Linked DNA regions of Danio rerio. Each later gene encodes a partner of the first gene's protein in a complex. Links are inferred from orthologs where the notes say so. Each region holds a gene or a part of one and is shown on either strand. Other genes may lie near its edges. The genes, in order: bop1 and pes.

Evidence for each region.
Region 2: bop1 (region 1) and pes share a complex: the UniProt entries of both Homo sapiens proteins name them as parts of the peBoW complex. The link is inferred for Danio rerio from reciprocal best matches to the Homo sapiens genes BOP1 and PES1.

The regions. Positions count from the first base shown.
Region 1 is NC_133194.1:3,468,922-3,473,490, reverse strand, and holds the start of bop1 (ribosome biogenesis protein bop1), read left to right. Parts: upstream 1-1,725; 5' UTR 1,726-1,779; coding exon 1,780-1,833; intron 1,834-4,569. Other genes in the region: hsf1 (heat shock factor protein 1), read right to left, coding at 954-1,079. UniProt on the Homo sapiens protein: Component of the PeBoW complex, which is required for maturation of 28S and 5.8S ribosomal RNAs and formation of the 60S ribosome.
Region 2 is NC_133180.1:13,522,053-13,525,881, forward strand, and holds part of pes (pescadillo), read left to right. Parts: intron 1-592; coding exon 593-764; intron 765-2,947; coding exon 2,948-3,037; intron 3,038-3,582; coding exon 3,583-3,699; intron 3,700-3,829. UniProt on the Homo sapiens protein: Component of the PeBoW complex, which is required for maturation of 28S and 5.8S ribosomal RNAs and formation of the 60S ribosome.

The DNA.
Region 1 (4,569 bases):
TTTCCCCAATAAAACTCTGTCAGTGGGATTGTGACTGTTACAAATATATTTAGGCCCATTTTACACAGGTTTTACCATATCTATTCATAATAAAAGATAAATATTTCTGTAAAATCACAATCCTTGGCCTTCATACTAATGAAGGTAGTGTTTATGAGGTAACGTTGGTTTAATATTTGCACATTTGGTTATTTATGAACTAAGTTACATTGTTTACCACGCTACTTTTACATATTCGGGTATCACCAGACATAGTTATGATACAAGATTAATTTTTTTTTAACAGTGAAATCACAATCTTGTGCCTTCATATGAATGGATGTACTGTTTAGGATTGAAGTAAAGTTGGTTTTATATTTGCACAGTCATTCATTTGAGTAGTCCCAGTATTGTTTACCACACTAATTTGAATATTCGGTCTGAAAATGCATTTAAGTATGACTATAAAACAACATTACTGCTATTTAATTGCCTGTGAACAACGTTGTACTTTGATAGTCATTGGCTGCTAAATGATTTCTATATTTATAATATGCAAATAATAGTTTTCTGCAATTGCATTGCTGAGGAGAAAGTTTGAATGTGTCAATATAAAACAAAATGTACATCAATCTGTTCAGGCCCAAAATAACGCATTAAATATCTTTGAAATATCTCTTTTAAACAGTATCATACGCCATTTATGTCTATTTCTCACACATTTTCTCTCATATTAAACTTATGTAGAGTATAATAAGTTCTTAGCTGTGTATAACGTTAGGTTAATATAGCTTATTGTTGTTTGTTTATTTTTAATGCGTGACTAGCAGCGTGGTCTGTCTGAAACACACAACATTGCGTCCTAGTATAATCCTCCCATTAAGACGAATGACAATAAATCTCGACTTGACTTGAATGTAACTGTAATCCAGGTCAGTAAACCGTCCTCAAAGCGAGACCCAGAATAGACTCACTGGGCTCCAGCAGATCAGCGGGTCCGTGTCCGGATCCTCCACCAGCGTCCAGAGTTTGGTCAGAAACGCAGGCACATTGTTCCCGGTGACCACCACTCCTCCGGGCCCCACACTGTGATACTCCATCACGGAGAGTTTAGTGATGATTTCTGACGGTAATTAGAACGCTGTAACGAGTCACTGACGAAGCGCGGAGTCACCCTCGAGGTGAGGCTTTACAGATTAAACCGTTCAAACGAGCCGATATAACTCTCATCACCCCTTGAAGAGTCCGGATCCTGCTTAAAAAGTGATCGTTACGATTCAATCGAATCGATTTGGTGTTTTAGATGATCCAGAATAAGTGGAAAATTCCATTAAATCCACATCGCGTAGTAACTGCGTAGAAAACAAGAAGCGTTGGGAGGCGTCGCGTTGTGATGACGTAGGCGCGACGGATGTTTAAAAATATATATTTTTTTTTAGATTAATATAACTAAATACGAAAAATAAAAACGAAGATAATGCTATTTGGATTATTTTTAACCACTTAAAATTGTTAATCTGTGCAAATTTGAGATTTTAAAACGGCACGTATTTTACGTTAAACTTTAACCTTTTGCATCAGACGCAGTTGTGTTAAAACGCAATGGATTCCATCATATGTTATTTTTAAAAGATAACTCATTTGAATCAAATACGGGCTGGGTACAATTTATAAAAAAGTACGCCAAACAACAAGTGGAATAAATAAATAAATCGAACGCGTCACTGTTTGACCTTTCACCTCTTCGATTCAAACCCACATGGTCGCATTTTCAGCATGCGTCCAACTCACAGCGGCACCATGAGCAAATTAAAGAATAAGAAACGACATTTAGAGGAGAATGAAGAGGAACAGGTATGATTCGATGCTGTGTTTATGTAGTGTTGTTCTGAAGTACTCACACAGTAGTTTGATTCTACTCGTTATATAAAAACACGCGTGTTTATATAGCGCGCGGTTGACTTGAGGTGCTCTCACTTTATGAATTTGAGATTATTCATGGATTTAAACTTATATTATACAATTTATGAGTGTCAATTATGTATCTTCTCACGGCTAAGATGTCGGCCGTGTTTATAAACGTAGTGTTGTGTTGTGCTGTTAAAAATATGACTACCAGTCTGAAGTTTGAAAGCATTTGATGTAATATATATCAAACTAGTCATTTAAAGTCCTGTAACTGCCTGCTCTACCAAATGGTTGACCATGTTTTGACCGTTTAAAATTATGACTGTTTTAAAATTATGACTGTTTTAAATAATGGTTTACACACACAGCATTGAAGGTTTGCTGAAAAACCAAACATAATTCTGTTGCACTACTACACTTGGTTTTGGTTTTATTGTTAAAAACAGCAATAAAGCATGTTAAATGAGAATCTGAAATATTTATGGCATATTTCAAAACATAAAGATCATCTAGAATTCATAAATGTTTTGTTTTGGTCATGTTTTTAAATAAATTGATCAGGTTTTTCATAGTAAGTGTATTAATTCTGGTGCTTTTACCATAAACTGACTTGTCTACCATTTGGTAGAGGATAATATTTTAGAAATTATGGGATCTGTTGATAAAAAATGTATTGAGTGTGTTAACTAGCGACATTAGGAGTTAAGAAATGCTATCCAAAGATGCTTTTCTTGGTGGCACATTAAAGGGTTAAAGCCTTAGTGATTGTCCTTCTATATAAATTTGATCACGTTGTAGTTTTTAATACATTTCTGTTTAAATATGCATGTCATTATACAGTAATTGGTGTTTTAACAGTGAATTTGTTTTCATTGAGGTAAAGTAGGTTTTTATATTTGCACATTGGGGCTTTCTGTTTAATAATATTATTTCAGAAAAGTATTCTTTGCCAACAGAGTATATGCACACAGACTTTTAATTTCAGTCAGCCAGCCAGCCCCAGGACTTTAGTTGTTAATTGTCACCCCATACAGAATCACCACATCTAAGATCTGATTTCTTTAAAAAATAAATAAAAAAATCAATAATCTTCACTGCCTGGTGGAGATACAATATAAAGTGGGTCTCAGACTAAACAAGAAGCACTGCATTAAATAATTTTTGTCTGTAAAATATAGAAACTAATTTTACCATAGTACCCCATTACATTTTTAATGGAATGACTGCGCTCGCCTGCTGCTATTGACAGTGCCTGCTGTCTCTCTTTACACTTTTTATAACAACCAAATGGATGCTTAAGTCTATTTAACCGATTATATTTGAATTACATTACAACATCGATGCTTTAAAAGGAGCCGTATGAAATTGAAAACAGTCACATAAAGCTTTCACCTGAAGTTCATCATTGGCTGAAAAACACTAGCTGTGCATATAGCCCAAACTAAATGGAGACATACAGCATTGTTAATATATAGCAGGGGTGTCAAACTCAATTCCTGGAGGGCCGAAGCCCTGCACAGTTTAGTTCCAACCCTGCTCCAACACACTTACCTGTAGGTTTCAAACAAGCCTGAAGGACTCAATTAGTTTGATCAGGTGTGTTTAATTAGGGTTGGAACTAAACTGTGCAGAGCTGCGGCCCTTTTGGAACTGAGTTTGACACCTGTGGTATATAGCTACTCAGAAAACTAGATTCTGTTCATCATGCAGCAATACGCTTCGTCACAGGCGCAGACTCACGGACGCATCACTGTATTTTGTACGATTCCTTAGACTGGTTATCTTTATATCGAAGGAGATATTTACATCCATACTCATTTATTTTAATTAAAGGCTCTCCTAGGTAAATCACCACCATATCTTTGTAATTTGTTAGCATTTCACATAAATAACCAACACACTAGATCTGGTTCATGTATTCATCTAACACCGTGGTTCTCAAACTTTTTTCATCAAGTACCACCTCAGAAAAAAATGGTCTTTCTAAGTACCACCAAAATGGCCAGTATTGAAATACAATAGCGTAGCAGGCCCAGTAAAGCAGCTACACCTCAGCACAGTTAAAAAAAAACGTGGCAGATTACCTCAGGAATATGAGCTATATGGCATATTATATAGATCATTTTTAATAATTGTTTACAAGTGTGTAGCATGTACATGACATATTTCATTCCTCCGGGTACCACTAGAAGGAAGCCTGCGTACCACTTGTGGTACATGTACAGTACCACAGTTTGAGAACCACTGGTCTAACAGTCCCAAAGGTATTGTCAGAATTTGGCAAATGTGCGTTTTCCTTTTCTGCTCCCAGGGCTTGGAATGACCTGCAAAATCAGCTCAGTCTTGAAACACTTCCGAGTCCGACTACTTTTAAACATCTTTTGTACAACATCTTAAAGGACACCTGTAATTGTTATTTATGCTCTAATCTTTTTATGAAGGGTGATTTTGTAATTTCGTGGTATTGTGTTTGTGATTTTTACGTAAAACATATGTGCTGTCTGCCATCTTGACCAGGTCTCACTGGAAGAAGAGACAGTACTGTCTTAATGTGATCTCCTGGCTAAATAAAGGAAATAATAATAGTAATATTAATTGTTCACAGTCAAATTAATAGTGCTAATGTTGTTTTAAAGTCATACTTGCATGCTATTTTAGACTGAATGTATAAAAGTAACATGA
Region 2 (3,829 bases), on another chromosome or scaffold:
ATTTTTTAATTAAATTATTTACACGGGGCTTCAGTGTTAAGGCTTTTGGGAGGGCGTGGCTAAAGTTGAGGCGCGATCATCATAGCAGCATCAGCCAATGAAATTAGTTCGCAATCAGCTACTGCGTGAGCCTGAGTATTTGCATAAAGCGATCTGATTTGCTGGCGCTGTTGGTGCTTGAAAAGTTAATAAATTCCAAACTTTTGCGTAGACGGATCCACAATTCAGTTTGGCAACCCTTGACATCACCCATTCAAGGTGAATGGGAAGTGTTGAATCGGGCATTAGAGGGCAACGTTAACGTTAGATTTTATTTTATTACTATCTTTTTTTAATTAAACAAACAGCATTTCTCTTAAATGTCACCACTTTCACTTTTGATCAATTGAATGCCTCCCCAAAGAATGATTATTCTGGGTATTTTAGTCTGGTAAAATATTAAAATGTTAATAATAAACTTTCTTTTCAGCATTTACAAATTTAGCTTAATTAATTCACATTCCTTTGAAGTGTTTTGAGCCGCCAAATGATTAATGTCCTTCCTGTCGTGTTGTCTTTGTATACAGTCTCTAAAATAAGTTTGTTTTCCCAGGTATCCCACGTTCATTGATGCTCTCCGAGATGTGGACGATGCCCTTTCTATGTGTTTTCTGTTCTCTACATTCGCTCGTACTGGAAAATGCCACGTCCAGACAATTCAGCTGTGTCGGAGACTCAGTGTTGAGTGGATGAACTACATCATCTCCTCACGCTCCCTAAGAAAGGTACATTTAAATGGTTTGAATTATAATAATTGTTTTTAAATGGTCAGTCTCTTTAATCTTCATCTGGAGAGCCAGCTGTTGGAGTGTTTCAGTCACTTCAGGCTTTTTGCACTGGTGTGCTTTCAGTTTAAAAATGTTACTTTAGAATAAAAATCCTCAAGTAGAGTAAAAGCTCCCTGTTTAGGCTGGTGTTTTTACTACATTTGAGAATCTCAGGATTCAAGCTCATTGAGTGTCTGCATATTTTACCAGCATTCATTCTTGCCATCTACTGTACTAATCAGGGAATGATATACAGCTTATGGTCATACCACTGTTACCGTGCCTGATCTTGTCTGATCTCAGAAGATGAATATACGCAGGACATCCAGCGGCTATTGTTTTTTTAGTCGGTCTACCAAAATCTATCTACACCGTGCCCACCGGGCTACCTATGAGCAGCACCAGACAATGTTGTAGATTAATTTTGGTAGCCTGGCTGAAAAAAACAATAGACGGGATGTTGGGCCACCAAATTTTGCGAGCCCTGCCCTGACACGATAGTCCAGAAGATATGTCAGAGGGCATTTCTGGATAGCGTTTACAAACTAAAAATGAGTCTTCATCATTTTCAAGAAGCTCCATTTTCATAGATTGAAGAAAAGAAATCAAAACTGAAAAATCCTGATACTGGATTTTTGGTACCAATCGATACTAACATTTTAAAAACGCCCATTTCCTGCTAACATTTAAACGCTGTTGAAAGCGTTCAACAGAAATGACTTATTGGCCCTGAAGGTCATCAGTTCTGTGTGATATGCGAACTGTACTGAGTGTAAGCACAGGTATAGGGACACTGGAGCGTTTCAAAGTTCCGTCAATCAGCTGATTTGTCTGTAAGCTGACATTCGAGTGGTCCGCTGATAATTCTTTAGGTTTTTAACGGCTTTAAGAACATGGTCAACAGTGCTCAAATGTTGGAAATTGACATTTTTAAAACTTGTGTCGTTTAGTACCAAATTCCTAAATGTTTTAGATGATTAGGGTTGTCAAAATTCTGAAAGTAAAGCAGCGTTTCTATCCATTGAATCAAAGACAACAAAATCATTATCACTTTCTGATAAACTGGGGCCAAATATAAAAACTGAGGTAAAAGAAGCCACTTTGGACCTTTTTTCTTGCATAATAAATTAATCTAAATTTCTCAAAAGATGAATTTTAATTAATGCACATTTGCTTTTGGAGGCATGACATGTTCTTTGGGAGCACAGACAATCAAGACAGTTCTGGAAGTTATAATACTGAAGCATTTTGATCACCGACTTTGGCTAAGGGATTTTAGACTAAATAAAAAAACAATATTTCAGATTTTTTACAATATGGTCGGCTCGCTGGTTTATCTGTTAAATCAAAATCACATACGTTTTGTTGATGTGCATGTTGGAATTTATTCGGCATTTTTGTTTGTTGGATTTTTTTGCAATGTTCCAAAACGCACATAAAAATATATGGATGGAAACATAGCTAGTGAAAACCGTAAATGGGGTTTGTCAGATAATGAAGTAAATTACCACCACCCTTATTGCTCATTCACTGTGAAGGATCTGGGTTTTATTGTGGACGGTAGCCTAAAGCTAAATAAACAAATCAATTCTGTCGTTAGTTCCAGTTTTTTTTTTTGGACCTTCGAAGACTAAAAACCCTCTCTAGGCAGAATTAGTTTTGAGATTGTAATTCATTCTTTTATACAGTAGTCAATGTGATTTAAAACAAATTTGTCCTAAAACTTTTAGAGGTCCAGTGAAATTAAAATAATATTTTTCTGATGTTAGAATCAGTAATGTTTTTAGGATATCTATAACTTCACGGGACCTTTAATCAACACCCTATTTTTGTCTGAAGAACAATAAAAAATTTGATCCACCTCAAATATTGACTACTATGTCATGACAGATTGATTGCTACAATTTGTTGTGTTGTGAGCTGCCTCATAATCTGATCATAGCCTCAGACTTCAGCTGGTGACATTTGCTGGTCATATTAGAGTGCCAGAGGGATAAAATCGTTCGAGAAATTCAGCAACGATTCTGAGATTTTTAAAATGCATCGCCTTGAATAGATTCTGAGCTCAGCTTTAGCAGCAGATGGTGTGTTTTAACCTTTTTCTATCACCTTTGATTGATACTGTTTTCTTTTTTTTGTAGGTTTTTCTTTCCATTAAGGGTATTTACTATCAGGCAGAGGTTTTGGGACAGACCATCACATGGATCGTACCATATCAGTTTGCCCATAATGTAAGTATAACATATTTTTGAAAACATTTTTGTGGATTCTTCAGTATTCATTCAGTCAATGACCTATGGGTCAGACTTTCGTTCACCGTTTATCAACGAAACCTGGAAAACTGAGAAGGTAAATATGGTCATTTTTCCACAGGAGTAGCTGAAAATTGATGCTGCTTTGTAGCATTCCAAGAATACAGGCTATTATTCTGTTATTAGTACTTGCTTGGGTGGCTCAGGTTTTGTGTATTTCTGTCTTTTTATATATTTACATATTCACTATCATGTTGAGGACATGTTCTCTTTCTGTGGATTGTTAAGGTACCAGTTATGGGAAAAGCTCAATAAAAAATAAATTAAACCAAACAATACACACCCTACACATCTGCTGTTAACTAACTCATGGTAACATGTACAGCACCTCTAATGACTATTGTTATTTAATCACTGGTCATGGATCATTATCAATATTTCAGATGCTGTTGTCCTTCTGCAGATTATTTTATGATGACTATTACATTGAACGTACTCATCGTGTTCCTGTTTCTTCTTCTCAGCATCCTACAGATGTGGACTACAGAGTTATGGCCACATTCACAGAGCTCTACACAACACTGCTCGGCTTCGTTAACTTCCGCCTTTATCAGACTCTCAACCTTGTCTACCCGCCCAAGGTATCGCTCACGAAATGTGTGAATGTGTTTCCATTTTATGGGGTCATAAACTGAAAAATCAAAATTCACTTGATCATTCGACATATGAGAGATTTTAGTACTATTTAAACATCCTGTAAGTTTCAGACCT